2 linked regions of the Rhinolophus ferrumequinum genome follow. The protein of the gene in region 1 interacts with the protein of each later gene in a biochemical or structural test. Links are inferred from orthologs where the notes say so. Each region holds a gene or a part of one and is shown in the gene's direction. Other genes may lie near its edges.

What was found.
Region 2: of the proteins of ARIH2 (region 1) and CKB, one has a biochemical effect on the other in vitro, tested with the Homo sapiens proteins (2 studies listed by BioGRID). The link is inferred for Rhinolophus ferrumequinum from reciprocal best matches to the Homo sapiens genes ARIH2 and CKB.

The regions. Positions count from the first base shown.
Region 1 is NC_046300.1:7,302,031-7,310,134, reverse strand, and holds the start of ARIH2 (E3 ubiquitin-protein ligase ARIH2), read left to right. Parts: upstream 1-4,986; 5' UTR 4,987-6,673; intron 6,674-6,793; exon of another isoform or gene 6,794-7,029; intron 7,030-8,104.
Region 2 is NC_046289.1:1,720,638-1,728,780, forward strand, and holds the start of CKB (creatine kinase B-type), read left to right. Parts: upstream 1-4,917; 5' UTR 4,918-5,092; intron 5,093-5,392; 5' UTR 5,393-5,418; coding exon 5,419-5,611; intron 5,612-5,769; coding exon 5,770-5,924; intron 5,925-6,010; coding exon 6,011-6,143; intron 6,144-6,471; coding exon 6,472-6,643; intron 6,644-7,336; coding exon 7,337-7,460; intron 7,461-7,691; coding exon 7,692-7,881; intron 7,882-7,961; coding exon 7,962-8,140; 3' UTR 8,141-8,143. Other genes in the region: tRNA (adenine(58)-N(1))-methyltransferase catalytic subunit TRMT61A, read right to left, coding at 1-149, 3,494-3,543. UniProt on the Homo sapiens protein: Reversibly catalyzes the transfer of phosphate between ATP and various phosphogens (e.g. creatine phosphate).

The DNA.
Region 1 (8,104 bases):
GAGAGACTGGAAGCAGGGAGACCAGTTAAGAGAGAATTACAGCAGTCCAGGCAAGAGGCAGTGAAGGCGTGAAATGAGGCAGGGATCATAGAAGGATGGAAAAGGAGATAGAACCCCAGAGGCATTAGCAGAAAACCTATAGCAGATTTGAGACATACTGCAGTGCCCATGGCACATCTGGGGACATAGCTGGTTAGTGTCGGGTACACAGTTTGGGAACCAGGAGAGAGGTAAAGGCCAGAGACAGAAGTTGGGAAGATTTCATCATAAAGACATATATGTAACCCCGGGAAGACTGTATCATGGGAGAGGGGCCGCATGAAAGGAGGAGCCCCCAAAGCAGAGGTTGCTATTAGAATTTTGGAGAAAAACTAAGAGAAAATGGTGCCTTTGAGTCCAAGGGATGAAAGAGTCAAATGCTGGGTCAAGCTAAGGAATTTTAAGTGCTCATGAGGTTTAACTAATCATCACTGATGACATTTAGAAGACACTTGCCAGAAGTGTTGGCATGTGGTGGGTCTAATAATGAACAGGCAGCAAGAAGGCAGAGGCACTAAGAGTCAGTTACTGGTTCAAGGAGCTTGGTAGGGAGGGGAAAGGAACAAAGAGTTCAAGGAGGGTTTAGATTTCAGTGTTTGTTTAAGATGGGACTGAGATTGAGGGAAACATCAAGAAAGGACAGAAAGCACAGCTGATGAGGCCGGGTCCCTGAGGTGGTGGTGTGGCATCTGCTTTGTGTGGCCTCCCCTGGCAAGCTGCTTCTAAATGCCCTGGGATCTCCAGCGCTCTCACTCTGAATATCTGGAATTGAGTCCTGACACAAGTCTTTAAAACTCTGTGACTGAGTTTGAGAAGCACCCATTGTTAAGAATTTCCAAGATAGAAGTGTTCGAGTTTGGCAAAGAGATAGCCCACAAGTTGTAAAGTAAGGTTGCATAATACCTGAAACACAGGTATAAGATGATTGTTGTTAAACTGTTTATCTGGGTCCCTGTCCTCAAAGGGCTTCAGTCTGGCTGGGGAGAAGAATCTCAGACATTGGAACAAGAAGGAGCTGTTAGGAGGGAGCTCAGGTGCAAAGCAGGTTGTCAGTTCTGGTTGAAGCCTGACATTTCCTCCTGACTTCCTACCCCAGTGAATACTGTTGTCTTTGTTTCCCACAGATTATGGGGAATTTTCACCATGAGAGGGCAGTACTGTGTTAGTGTCCAGGGCACACATTTACTGAGCACTTCTGATTTGTAAAACTACTCATCGCTAGATTAACCTCAGGAGTTTTATTGGACAGAAGGCCCAAGAGTCACAATTTGGTAATGGGACCTTGTTTCTTTTATTTATATTTTGTAACACTCTGGCTGCAGAGGAGGAGCTAATTTAGAGTCAGTTTGCACTCAGAGCAATTTCAGGAAGAGATGGTATTTGATATAGATAGAACAGCCCTCCTGGTAAAAATCCAGTAAACCTACCCACCTCCATGACAGACCTCAATGTGGACTCAACTCAAGCCCACCAGTAAAACGTAATCAATAATCCACTATACAAATGGTCTTCCTGCTTCCTGATGTGGTTAGCCTTACACACCGCTAGAAAACTTACCTGAAATTTAATCTATGTCATTCCCTGGCCAAAAAAGCTCCTCAGTTCTTTATTGCATCAGAATAAACTACAAATAGCTCAGGGGCAATCGGAGCTTTTCATAGTTTCATGCTAGTTTACTTCTTCAACTTTGTTTTCCCCTAGACTATATCTTCATCTCTGAGCAAACTGAGCTTCTCCTGATTTACCATACAGATCTGCTACTTAACTGCCCCTTTTCACATATTTTCCTCTTTAGCACAGGTGTCTTTTCTCTCTCCACTCTGTAACATGTTGATACAAGAGGTGTATCTGAGTTGCTACCATATGCTAGACATCGTCCAACCAGTGGTTCTTAGCCATTTGTGGGGAGGAAAATCCCTGGCACCCTCTCCCCAGAAAAATGTACATATGCACATGTACCTCCAGGTTTGCTTTCAATTTCATGGGAACTTGAAGCTGTCCTTGGACTCCAGATGAGAAATCTTGTTCCTAGACCCTGGGAATCAAACATGAAAAAGGGGCTAATTTTCCCAATGTCTATCCTTCCTTTCTTCTCTTTCCTTCTTTCTTAGCTCAAATTCCACGTCTGGGCTGAAATCTCTCCAATTTCTGTGCCTCTCATGGGCTCCAATCCTGCCTCTCTAGCTGCCCAAAGAGATCTTGAACTCAGTACACCTGAAAGTAAGTGATATCCAGGAAAAAGGAACCAGATAACAGATCCATATATACACGGGAACTTAGATCATCATAAAGGCGCTTTTCTAAATAGTGGATAAAGAATGATCTATTCAATAAACGGTGTTGGGACAACTGACTCTCTACACATCCTACCAAACACAAATTCTGGATGGATTTAAGAGCTCAACCTAAAAAACAACAATATAAAATATAAGCATTTTGTACATGTCCTTCCAGGACCCTTTCTATGCATCTACATATGCATTTATATCTAATAGGTACACACACAAACACACATTTACACAAAACCTTTTTCATTAAAAAAAAGCTATTGTAAATATAATTCCGCTTTTTTACTCAGTGAAAGGTGCTATTATCCCCATTTCACAAATGAGAAATCTAAGTCATAGAGAGGTAAGTTTCCTTGCGCAAGGTCACTCTGCTAGGAAGTTGCCAAACTGGGATTCTCACCCTGGCTATCTGGCTCCAGACCCTACCTTTTGTAGGCCTCTAAGGCCAAAGCCTATGAGAGAGAGCTTTGGAGGGTTTTGAACAAGGAAATGACATGTTTTATGCTTTAAAAAGATCTCTTTAAACAACGGAGAGAACAGATTTAGTAGAGCAAGGGTGGGTAGATGCACGGAAACTACCTTAGTTAAGCGACCTGCTCACATCCAGGGACATATTGTGATGGCTTGCTCTGGAGCACCAGGTGGTGGGAAGTGCCTAATCAGGACATATTGTGGAGGTATGGCACGTAGGAATTGCTTATGGATTGAATGTGGAATTTGAAAGGGAAAGAAGAGTCATGGGAGACTGGTGAATTTTTGGTCTGAGTAAATAGTGAGAGATAATGACATCACTGAGCTCAGAAACACTGGGCGGGGGGTGCGGGGAAATGCCAAGTTTGGAGATAAAATTGAGTTTTGTTTGGGACATGTTAAATCTGAGTGCTAACATGACATCCCAGTAGGGGTGTTGAATGGACAGTTGAATGTATTGAGTGTGGAGTTCAGGGGATTAGGTAGGCCTAGAAATAAAAGCCTAGAAGTCATCAGTGTATTGGAGGTACATACTTAATTAGGCAAAGAGCTTGGATAAGGTCATTAGAGAGTGAGGGTAGATGGAGCAGAAGCTGAAGATGGAGCCCACCGACTCTCCTGTGCAGTACTCCTCACAGCAATTTCATACTTACTTAAATATTCCTCTAATTTCTGAATCCGCTACTAGGCCAAAGCTCTTTGACTGCAGGGACCATGGTCTCCTGCCCTCTCCATTAAATCTAACAACATGGTACCTGGCCTATAGCTGGGCTCAAAGAATCAAAGGCATTTTTCAAAGGTGATTTGGCTGTATCTATCACAATGTAAACTGAGCATAGAAGTTTACTCACTAATTCCATTTCATTTTCCAAAAATTCCGAACCATTTTCACATCTATGCAAACAGTAGTACATCCAAGGGTGTTCATTGCAGCACCAGTTGTCATTTCACCTGAGTGAAAAATCAGAAACAGATGACCTGCAAAAGGAGCGTGGTAAGATGACAGTATAATCACACTAGGAAATATTGAAGATGTGGTAGGCTCAGGAGCCAGACGGCCAGGGTTAGAAGCTTAGCTTGGCCACTTCCTAACTTTAGAGCAATTACCACACCTTCCTGTGTCTTAGTTTGCTAATTTGTAAATTGGGAATAATAATAGGACCTTCTACTAAATGAAGAAAGCAGGATGATATTTATAACAGCCTGTTAAATTTTTTAGAACTTTGTATAAATATATGTGTATATGTGTATAAATACAGATATGTATGTAGATGCACAGAAAAGGGTCCTGGAAAGATGTGCACCAAACTCTGGAAAATGGCAGCAATCCTGGATAGGGTAGAGAGTTGGAGTGAGTTAATGGGAATATTCACATGTTGCTATCAACACTGTTGTATAAATTTTTCACAACTTTAATGTATCAATATATTATCGTGTAATTAAAATCAATAAAGGCAAAGATGAAAGACATATGTATGATATATATGTAACATATGCTACGTGACAGATTACATTTTCCAAAGATGGCCACACCAACATGTATCCCATTCCATATGTTCTTCTTACAGTGTGATATCGTGTTGGTATTCCTCCATCAGGGGTAGGGTTTCATTTCCTCTCCTTGAACCTGAGAGGACCTTTGCTTGGACCAATAAGATGTGGTAGAAATAATGCTGTGTGACTTCAAAGGCTAAGTCATAAAAGGAGATATGGCTTCCACTTGGTTCTAAGGCACTTATCCTTGGAACCCAGCCACCATATTTCCAGAAAAACAAGGTCACATGGAGAGGTTGTGTATACGTGTTCTGACTGACAGTCCCAGCAAGGCCACTACCAGATGCACGAGTAAATAACTATTCCTGTAATTTTAGCTCTCAGAGTTTGAATCTTCTAGCTGAGGCCCCAGACACTGAGGAGCTGAAATAAACCATTCCCCCAGATTCCTGTAAACTGTCCAGATTCCTGTCCCACAGAAACCATGAGAGTTTAGATATATTTTACACACATATATATTTTGAAAATGGAATAGCACATTGTTTCACATCCTAGTCTTATCACTGAAGAATGTATCATAAGTACCTTTCCTTGTCAAGAGGGGCCTTTGTATAGCATGATTGTTGATGGCTTTCTTTATTGTATATTTTACCATAATTTAACAAACCCTTACTTTTGGACGCTTGGGATGCTGCAAACTTTTTCCTGTTAGAATCATCATTCCAAAGCACATAAATGCGCACAAATTTTTATGTGTATCCTTAAATGTTTTGGCTTAATTTTTAAATTTACTTCCTGGGGAGAGATTGCCACTAGTTAAAAATATTATCATCAACCCAATAAATGTTTATTTAATGGAGTAATACTGAAAACAAGGTTGGATCTGTGCCCTTAAGAAACTCACCTTCACCAGGGGAAAGACACATGAACAAATAAAGAGGATTCCAATATATTGTACATGCACCAGTATGCTTGTGACCTCATTCTCTATTTAGCAAGTGCAATAATGCTACAGAAAGACTGATTGTTCCCCTTATTCACTGGAATTTATTACCAGCAACCCAAAGTGAGAGCTTCTAATTGACATTTCATTTGCAGAAAATATAATTTGGACCCTTTGCTAGTATAATTTAAAGGGATATGTTTTCTCAAAACAAATGTATTAAGGTACACTGGATGATAGACTTTTATGTTGCTAAATACCAAATTCATAATCCTACAATATATTACTCATTGCTATTAATTTTCACTCCAAATTAATTTGGGGCTTTCCAGTATGTGTTTGACTGCATCTGATCTTGGTCCATGTTCTGTGTTAAAACTGGAAGCTGAAACCCGTATGTAAGAAATACATGAGTGCATACAAGAAGCAAGCACTAAATTAGAGAGCCCGTTACACATCATTTGTCTCGAATATCAGTACATACACGACTGGTGTACGGGTGGAAATCGTTTGGATTATCTACGGACTTGCACATCCCAATACAATGCCTAACATCACCAGCTTCACACTGGCGTTTGCACTCGTGCAGCAGCAACCTGAGTGAGCCTCCGTGGCTCGCTCCATCCATAACACTTGACAACAGGTCCTAGTAGGTACTAGAAGTCATAACTGGCACTTCTTATACTGTTTGAAGAAACTGGGCAGCAAGGCAATTAAGAGTCAGCCTTGTACAGTCACTGGAAAGCCGAAGAACTGGGCGGCGAATCCAGTTGAGGAAACGGGAGTGAAAACCCGGCGAGGTCCTGCGGCTCGGGGGCCAACAGGCCACAACCTGAGCGTAGGCGGAATTCCGGCCCGGCGCGCTGACCCGAAGGCCCTGTTCTCCTTCGTCCAGCGAGCCGAAGGGAAACAACAGTCCTTTACCAACTCCACCGACGTCAGGATGTCTTCCCGGTACCCGACACTCGAGTTTACAAACAGTGAAGTAAGGAGTCCATCAGAAAAACGCGGGTTAAAAATATCCTGGCGGGCAGCGCTGGGAGGCGAAAGCCAGAAGCGATGCCGTGACTGCGCTCCAGTAAGCCGAGCCCTCTCGTCTGCTGCCTCTCGCAGCCCTCCGCGCCGGCCGTGCCCTGGTCAGACCCCGGGATCCAGCGCCGGGATACCACAGAGCGCCAGCAGAGGGGTACTATTACCCAGCGCACGCCTCGACCCCTGCGACCGCGGGTCGACCCCGGCCCGGAAGTGACGCAACCACGCCGAGCACTTCCGGAGCGGCGGAGACGGCTCCGCTGGAGGAAGCGACGCGGGCCTTGACCGGCGTCGGCTTGCCGCGTCCGCCGCCGCCGCCGCCGCCGCGCTTGTGTCCGATCCCTCTGGCCCCGCCCAACCCGGTCTGGCCCGTCCGGGCTCAGCGGCCGCGGGGTCGCGCCTTCCGGTAAGTGTGAAGCGCGAATCGTGGCCTTGTTTACCCGGCGGGTCGGGGGAGGGGGTGGGCTTTCCGTGCGCCTCCCTAGCCCGACTGGGGCTCCGCCTTCGTCGCCGCCTGCGAGGCCCCGGCGTCCGCGGTCGCCGGTACAGTCTCAGCGCCCCCCGCCGTCCGCGGACGGACGGCTGAAAGCTACGGCCGGGGCGGCCGAGCGCCTGGCGTCTCCGTTATTCCTTCTTCCGCCGCCTTCTCAGCTCGCGGAGAGGTCGGAGGCCGTCGCCTCTGACCGACTGGCGCCGGCCTATCTGGGCCCTCCCCACCGGGCGCGCCGGGGAAACGCGCCACCTCCGGGGCTCCCCGCTCAGGTCATTATGGAGAGCTCTCCCAGGGCCGCCCGCGCGATTAGTTAACGCCCGCTTCTGAAGGGTCCCCCAGCGCGTGAGTTCCGTGTCCTCGCGGATGTCCCGGCGCCTCGGCAGGGACCAGTGGCCCAGGAGCTGCGCCGCGGTGGTAGCCGCCGGAGAGGCAGCCGCCTTCACGGATGACTTCACCTCCGTACGGGTTGTTGCTCTGTCCCGTAGAACTTTGTCACAGTGGACATATTCTATGACTTTGCCACACGTAACCATTGTGGCTAGTGTGACTGAAAAACCAAACTTTAAATTGTATTTAAGTTTTAACTTAACCACTTGTAGCTAGTGGCTACCCTGTTTGACAGTGCGGGCATTAGGGTAGGGTGTTGAAACCAAGTTGCTGGTTCATATTTTTGTACCAAGTAGTTCTCTTTGGAAATGTCGGCTTAGTAAAGGACCATTCGGTGCTAAATACTATATATGAAGTAAACACCGTCAGATTCACACAAAAAAGTCCGTTTTATTCTTGTCAACTTGAAAACTGAGTCGTCTTCAGCTTAGCTCCCTTAGTCCAGGGTGGGTGTCAGGTCTTCTGAACACATAACTTTGTGGGGAAAAGTAATTTCTTTTACTCCCTTTCGGACTGGGATGTAGGGATAATATTTAACATCTAAGAAATTAAAAGCATTGTCATCATTTCTGCTAATAAGGCAATAACATACTGTCCCCTTTGAGCTATGTCAGCGCTAGGAATATTTAACTTTGGCAAGATTGAAAATTAAGTGTTTATTTAAATCTGGACCTAGAATACCCAGTAAGCACGAATGGCCTTCTCTTTTTTCAGGTTCCCCTTTAGGAGAGGAGCCTTGATTCTTGAATATTTAGTTGGTGAGGAGTCTGGGCAGCCTCTAAACCCAAATCCTGGGGAGAAGTCCAAAGAAAGTGAAAACATGCTCTTTTGCTGTGATTCTGGAGGTAGCTTTGTGGATAGCATTAGGCTCTCTGGAAGGGTAATAGGGAATTATGAATCACCGTAGGTCATGGAGCTGGTGGAATTATGACACTGTGGGCTCTTCTGTTTGCCAGC
Region 2 (8,143 bases), on another chromosome or scaffold:
GCTCCGCACGTGGCACCGCGACAGCGGCCACACCACTTCCGGCTCCTCGGGCCCGGCGCCCGCCGATGACGTCACGGCGCCCTGCGGTCGCTCGCGGGATCGCGGGGCGCGCCTCCGGGTCAGCTTCCTCCCGGATGCGCGTTCCTGTGCTTGCACACGCCCGTGCAAAGACAAGCTGAAAGTCCCACCGCCCCAGAAGTAGGCCGCGCGGGCTGCGACCAGGGCAGGGCCGCGACAGCCCTGGAGTCCCAGGACCGCCCGCCCACGGCTAGCTGCCCAGTCCCGTGAGGACACTTTGCTGTGGGCACTTTGTCACTGCAAATCGCTCTGGGAACACCCCTGACTGGGCCCCAGGGTGCATTCCAGAAAATGGAATCACATATCAGAGGGTTTAACTGGGATCAGCCAAGGTGCAGGAGATGGGGGTCTGGCAGGGTCTGCAGAAGTGGCCTTCCGCCCTGGCCCTGACTCTCCCTGGTCTGCCTCCCCCGCAGGGGCACATTCTCTGCAGTGCAGAAGCCACTTACACGAGGGAGGGGGTCCTGTGTCCCAGGACCCAGGGTGCAATGAGAGCTGGATGAAATGGGCTGAGCGGGGGACTGGAGACGGCAGAAAAGGGAAGCAGCAGCTCTGTTATTGCTCAGCAGGGCTGATTCAGAGCAGGTTCCTCTGTGGGGAGTGTAGAGAGGGAGTGGGGGCAGGGGCCGGACTGTCTGCCTCCAGCACTCCGCTCCCTGCAAGGCGGGCTTAGCTTTTGGGCCTGGAGCGTGATAGATGTGCCCAGCCCACTCAGCTCCCCTGTAGCCTGGGCCCTAACCCAGGGCCTGGCAGCAGTAACCCCACTAGGACACCTCTCAGGCCCGGGCTGCTCCAGCCTGCTCAAACGGGAGTGGCTAGGCCCCTGCAGAGCCAGCCCCTTCCCCAGCGCTGCCAGCCTGTGAGGCTCTCTGAACTCTTCCAGGATGGACCAGGGTGTCTGTAACCCTTGTCATGGGCCCCTCTGGGTCCATGGCGGAAACCCGGGTGCCTGGCTTCAGCCCTTCCATGCCCCTGCCCTGGCTGGGCTTGGGTCTGGGAGCTCCGGGGATAAGAAGGTGAGGGACTGTTGGTGGCTTCCCACTCTCTGGGTTCATGTCCCTGTGTGGCTGCATCATGGCTTCCCTGCCTCCTGCTCTAACACTGAGACAACCCAGCCCCACCCATGGCTCACCAGCCTCTCTTCCCAGTGACTCTGCTTCACCCCCTTGGTGATGCACCGCCTGAATCACTCCCTAATTGCTCCCCTGAGATCTCAATTTTCCACTTCTCCTGGGGGTTCCTCTTTCCCCAGCCACTCAGCTGGGGTGTGGAGCTGAGGCTGGACGCCTACTAAGCCTAAATTAAGACTCGGTGACTTGGTGGTGGTTTCCTGTGGTCCTGACTTCCCACTTTCTTCTTTGTCCGTGACTGGCTGACCAGCTCCTCCAAGTGCCCCTCCTCCACAGCCTCCCAGAGCTGTCCTTCTGTTCCATCGGAGCCCGCCCCAGCCCTTGGTCTGAGTCCTCAAGCACTGGACTCCTCCAGGCCCCGGGCAGAGTCTGTATACTGGGACTCCTCCAATGAGAATTGATGCTTTGTAAGCCCAGCTAAGTGTCACTGCATTGAATCCTCCCCACAATCCTGTGAGGGGGGGACCACTTCACAGATGGGGAAACTAAGACTCAGGGAGGTTAAGTAACTTGTCTAAGGTCACACAGCCAATGAGACCAAAGTGGCACTGGGATGTAAAGCCAGTAAAGCTAGCTGCAGAGAAACAATGGAAGGTTTGAAAGAGGGGGGAACAGGCAGGAAGGAGACCCTGGAGGAAATGGAGAAGCTAAGGATGCCCACCGGGGAGGCTTCGCCCACATCCCTAGCAGGGATCAGGTGACCGAGGTCCCCTCCTCTCTGCCCAGCCCATGCTCTGAGACCCCAAGGAAGCCCTGCCCCTCTGCTCTTCCCAGCTAACTTCCCCTCTGGATTCTGCAGAGCTTAGGACCAGGGCACCAGGAGGAACAATGCCTACCTGGCTGCACTCAGACAGACGATGATGATGACTAAGGTCTCCAGTGCCCTGCCCAGAGGCTGGCCCTGCCCGGAGCCTGGCCCACCTCTGCCTGCCCTGCACCCCCGGCTGACGGGGGTAAGGGGTGGTGATCTGTGGATGAAAGGCCAGCCACTCCTTTGAGGCTCTTGAGAGGCCAGGTGGTTAATGTATAACCAATTATGATACATTACGTCTGAGGAACCTGGACCATAAACTGGCCAGGTGATGTCACCCAGCTTTTGCCTGGATGCCACCAGACCGACTTCGGTGTGCCCGGAGGAAAGTGGAGGGTCCACAGATGAGAGCCAGGTCAGCCAGGGGCAGTTCTGGCTGTGGTGGAGGCTGACCCCTTCCAGCCCCCAACCCTTGCTGCCCTGCTCTGGGACCAACCAGTCTCCCAAGCAGCCCCTGCCTTGTTGGGGGCCGCACCTTGTCATTTGGGTCCGAAGACCTCGGTCGCCCTCCCCTTCCCCCATCACAGCTGCTGAACACCCTGCACTGTCAGTCTGAGCCCCGCCCAGGTTTGGCCTGCCTGGGGTCCCCAGGGTGGTCCTTGGGTGACGTTAGCACAGGGCCAGTCATTCTGGAATCATTGAGTGATTGCGGTGCCTCTGACCTGACCCCTCTGTCACCCACCTTCTGATTGTCCCTTTGCTTATCTGAAAAATGGGGACAAAACACCCATCTCAGAAGGCTGAGGGTTGCAGGAGCCCTCGGCAGGAGTATCCCCAGGGCCTGACCCTAGGCAAGGCCGCCGCAAGCCAGTGGACCTCCTCTCCAGTGTGGACCTCGCCTGTAGAGGGAGCGGGGAATGGGAGTCCTTCTTCCACCCCACAAAGTGCTCGGGTCCTTGGCCAGCCTGAGGGTCGGGGAAGGTGGATGGCGTTCTGAGAAATTGCAGAGGCTGAAGACAAAGAAGAAGCCCTGAGTGCACCCCCTCTTCAGGGTCTGAAAGCTAAGTCTGAAAGCCAAGTCAGCCTCCAGCAGCAGCAGCAGCAGCTCTGGTTTCTAGAAACAGAAACTTGAGCCCATCAGGCCTTCGGGAGTGGGGAAGTGGGGAGGGTAGCTGCAGATATTTGTAAAATTGGGGGAAGGGGCTGCAAAGGGACACAAGAGTGCAGGAATTCCAGGCTTAAGGGACACCTGCTGTCTGGCCAGCCAGACCATTGGCCTTTTTACAATGGTTTGTTTTGTGGGTCTAAAAAAAAAACACACCACAAAACTCAAAATGCTGACTGGGAATAGGTCAAAGCATGCCAAGGTGAGCTGGGGAAGAGGCAGGCGTCCCTTCTGGTCACCACAAGGACAGCCAGGGACAGCTGGGGAGATTCCACACCCTTTGATGAGCACACAGGCAGTGCCGGTCCTCTGGGTCACTGAATGTGCCGGTCCTCTGGGTCTCTGCTTCAGCGCCCACTCCCTACCTACCTTGGAATTCCTGGCTCTGCCCTGCCCCAGCCGCGCCCATCTCCTCCCATCTCCTGCTGCTGTTCTGTGCACTTGGCTGCTGTCTCAGGGCCAGTCTTCCCTCAGCAGCAGCCTACGTTCACCTTGCTTCCGACAGAGCTCACCATGCAGGCCTGGGAAGATTTTGTGAAATATACACATAGATAAGGGCTTCCCCTTTTCTGGCTTTACTCACGAAGCAACACATGATGGGTATTAGCTACAGAATCTCCAATGCACTCTTTTTAATAGCTGTATACTTTTCCACACGGCAGACATGCCTCCCTACCCGTTGGCTAGTCCCCAAATGATGGGTGAGTTATATCCAGGTTGGTTTGTGTTTGTTTTTCCCACCACACAACTTTTGGCCTATCTGCAAAGAGAAATGACTGTCCTTTCTATCGGCTGGATTCCTAGAAGTGGGATTGCTGGGTCAAGGAGTGTGAACATTTTTAATTTTAATAAATCCTGCCAGATTACTTCCCAAAAAGGATGTAGCAATTCACAGTTGCAGGCAGTGTGTGGACGCCTGTCTCCCCACATTCCAACCCATAGCCAACACTGGCTGCTGTCAATCTTACATTTTTGTCAATCTGAGTGTGTTGGGGGTAATAGAATGTGGAGACATTGTTTTAATTTGCCTGATTCTGATTTATAGTGAGTTCTTTTTTTTTTTAATCTCACATATGTTTGTGTTTCATCTTTGCCAGTCTCTGGGGACTGCCTTTGGGGGTGGGGTGGTGAGACTGAACCTGTCCCCAGCAGAGAGGGCCTAGGGCTGGGGTCTGGAGACTGTGAGCCTGTGTACTCCCCAGCGGCCGCTCAGGGTTACAGTGTTCCTGCATCTACCAGGAGGGGCAGGGCCCGGGGTCCCTGGCTCAGATCCCCCAGAGCCTGGGTACTTGCCCAAGGTCAAAGCACCGCAGGTGCCACCGGGCTGGGCCGGAGCCAGACTGCGCCTCCGGTGCGCCTTCGCCTTCGCTCTGCACCAAGATCTCCCGGGAGATGCAAGCGGGCACCTTGAGAAAGGTCGGCGGCTCAGAACCAGCTCAGACCGGGCGGGGCGGGGCGGGGCGGGGGCAGTACCTGCTGCAGAAGCCCGAGCCTCTCTCGCCCGGCCTCTCGCTGCCGCTGCCGCCGCCGCCGCCATCGCGGGGACTGGCAGAGGAAGGCAGAGGTGGGATGCAGACGAGCCCGAGCGTCCTCAAGTGCCGGGTGGCTCTCCTGCCTCAGTTTCCCGCGGGGTGGGGGGCGACTCCAGGACGTCCAAGGGTCTGAGGTTCCGGCTTCGGGGTCCTGGGCAGGCGCCGGGCAGGGCGGGCGGGTTGTGCCGGGGTCCCAGCGAGGAGACACACAGGGTGGGCGGCCTTGGGGGGTGGTCTGGGGCTGCGGGCGGAGGACAAAGCAGCGGCACCACCCCGCGGTGCAGGCCAATGGAATGAATGGGCTATAAATAGCGGCCAATGGGCGGCCCGCCCTGCACCCCTTAAGAGCCACGGGAGAGGCGAGCGGCCGCTGTTTGCCAGCGCCGCGCCCGGAGTTGCTTAAGGACCGAGCGCTCCCCCTACGCCCGGACGCCTGGTGAGTGGGCCCGAGGGCTGGGGATGGCCGCGCTGGGCGCCGGGGCAGCAGCGATGCACACAGAGGGACCCCGGGGCATCTTGCGCTCCGGACGCGCCCGGGCAGGCAGCCGCGAGTGCGCGCGCTGGCGGGTCCGCGGTCCTTGGTGGTGCCGGCGCCCTCTGCCTGCGCTGCGGACCCCGCTGACCTTGGCCACATCCCAGGTTGACTGGGGGCCAGGGCTGCGGGGTCCTGAGTGGTTTGTAGGTCCGGGGGAGGCCGGGTGCGCCGGGTCCCCGCTGATGCCGCGTCTCCCCACAGCCCACAGCCCGCCGCCCGCCGCCGCCATGCCCTTCTCCAACAGCCACAACACGCTGAAGCTGCGCTTCCCGGCGGAGGACGAGTTCCCCGACCTCAGCAGCCACAACAACCACATGGCCAAAGTGCTGACCCCCGAGATGTACGCTGAGCTGCGCGCCAAGAGCACGCCGAGCGGCTTCACGCTGGACGACATCATCCAGACCGGAGTGGACAACCCGGGTACGCGCACGCCCGTCCCGGGGTCAGGATACTCCCGGGGCTAAGGTCCAGCGCCCTCCAGAACCCCTCTCGGGCCAGAGTTCCCGCGCAGCCGCAGGGTCCTCGGCTGCTTGCTCAGGCCTGGCGGTGACGTCACTGTCCCCTTCCTCGCCCCCCAGGCCACCCGTACATCATGACCGTGGGCTGCGTGGCGGGCGACGAGGAATCGTACGAAGTGTTCAAGGAGCTCTTTGACCCCATCATCGAGGACCGTCACGGTGGCTACAAGCCGAGCGACGAGCACAAAACTGACCTCAACCCTGACAACCTGCAGGTGCGGGGTGGCCCGGGTGCGGGGCGGCCCGGGTGCGGGGCGGGCTACGAGTGGTATCCCGGCGCTCACCCCCGCTCGGCCTGCAGGGAGGAGACGATCTGGACCCCAACTACGTGCTGAGCTCGCGGGTGCGCACAGGCCGCAGCATCCGCGGCTTCTGCCTCCCCCCGCACTGCAGCCGCGGGGAGCGCCGCGCCATCGAGAAGCTCGCGGTGGAAGGTAGGGGTCTGCCCGCCCCGGCTCGGCCGCCTCCACGTCCCCGGCCCCGCCCCAGCTTGTTTACCAGTCACCCGAGCCACCGCCGAGTTCTTATCTGCGCGCGCGGTCCGGTTTCCCGAGAGACCGAGGCCCAGCCCCGCACCGACTGCGGCCGGGCTGCGGTCCGGTGAGGGCCGCCCGACTGAGTCACCTCCTCCGACCGCCGCCGGACCGCATGGACTGGGCTCCCACAGGGCTGGGCGCGCGTGGGGAGGTGGCGGCCCCGTGCTGCCCGGGTGGGGGTGGGGCCAGGGCCCGCGGCTTGTCCCCTGAGCGCGCCCCTCCGCAGCACTGTCGAGCCTGGATGGCGACCTGGCCGGCAGGTACTACGCGCTCAAGAGCATGACAGACGCGGAGCAGCAGCAGCTCATCGACGACCACTTCCTCTTCGACAAGCCCGTGTCGCCCCTGCTGCTGGCCTCGGGCATGGCCCGCGACTGGCCGGACGCCCGCGGCATCTGGTGCGTGACCACTCCCCTCCCCCTCCCGCGGCTCCCCCACCTCTTCCTCTACGTCCTGCCCTCGCCCAGGCTGGGAGGGGAGAGGGAGAGGCCGCGCTCCTGGGACGGGTTTGGTGCCGCCCAGGCCTCCTCTCAGGTGACGTTGACCGCGCAGGTGCGTGGAGGGACCCGGCTGATGGAGGCCTCAGCCTCCGGATCTTAGAGGTGGGGGACAGGTCGTGTTGGCGTCTCTCCTCCACCCCCTCTTGGGAGCTGGAGCTTCTTGTTTTCTTTCTCACCCGCCCGCTTCCCCCTTCCTCTGAGGATCTGCCAGGTGCTGGGTGACGCAGACGCTTCCCGGTGGAGGTTGGGGGAGGGCTTACAGCCTCCTGTCCCCACGGTCTGGGTAGGGCGGGCTTCAGCGCCCAGATACAGCGCTTTCCCCTGGGGGGGCTGTCCGGGCTCCCCCGCCCCTTACGTCCTAGGTTGGGACCTGGCCCCAGGGCTCGTGACTGGCAGGATGGGGACAGTTCAGGGCTTTTTGAACCCTTTCTGAGCTGTCCTGTGTGGCGGGAGCTGGGGTTCTGGGTATAGCTGGAAGGAGCACCTCAGGGATTTGTGAAGTTCCTCCCGTCTGGCGACCCCCTAGAGTTTTCCTGGATGTGCCCTGAGACCACAGTCCAGGGAGGAGCCTTGACTGTGGCCCTCCCCCAGGCACAATGACAATAAGACCTTCCTGGTGTGGATCAACGAGGAGGACCACCTTCGGGTCATCTCCATGCAGAAGGGGGGCAACATGAAGGAGGTGTTCACCCGCTTCTGCAATGGCCTCACTCAGGTCAGGCCTGCCGCTCCAATAGGGGCTGGCATGAGTGGGGGTTCAGTGCCAGGGAGGGGGCAGGGCCAGGCCCCAGAGCTCAGGCAGGGATGTGGGTGCCCTATCAGTCTCCCTGGGGAGTCTGGGTCTCAGTCACCTCAGGCTCCCGCCTGGGGCTTCTGGGTCCCAGCTGGTCCCTTGGGGGGAGGGGCATCTCACAGGCCTTCCCTCTCACACCTTCTCCACCTCCAGATTGAAACACTCTTCAAGTCTAAGAACTACGAGTTCATGTGGAACCCTCACCTGGGCTACATCCTCACCTGCCCGTCCAACCTGGGCACAGGGCTGCGGGCAGGTGTGCACATCAAGCTGCCCCACCTGGGCAAGCACGAGAAGTTCGCGGAGGTGCTCAAGCGGCTGCGCCTTCAGAAGCGAGGCACAGGTGAGTGGGGCAGGGGCTGCTGGCAGCTCTCTCTCCCCGGGGCTCCCACCCCAGCCCTGCTGACCCGGCTGCCTCCCCAGGTGGTGTGGACACGGCTGCTGTGGGCGGGGTCTTTGACGTCTCCAACGCAGACCGCCTGGGCTTCTCGGAGGTGGAGCTGGTGCAGATGGTGGTGGACGGCGTGAAACTGCTCATCGAGATGGAACAGCGGCTGGAGCAGGGCCAGGCCATCGATGACCTGGTGCCCGCCCAGAAGTGAAGG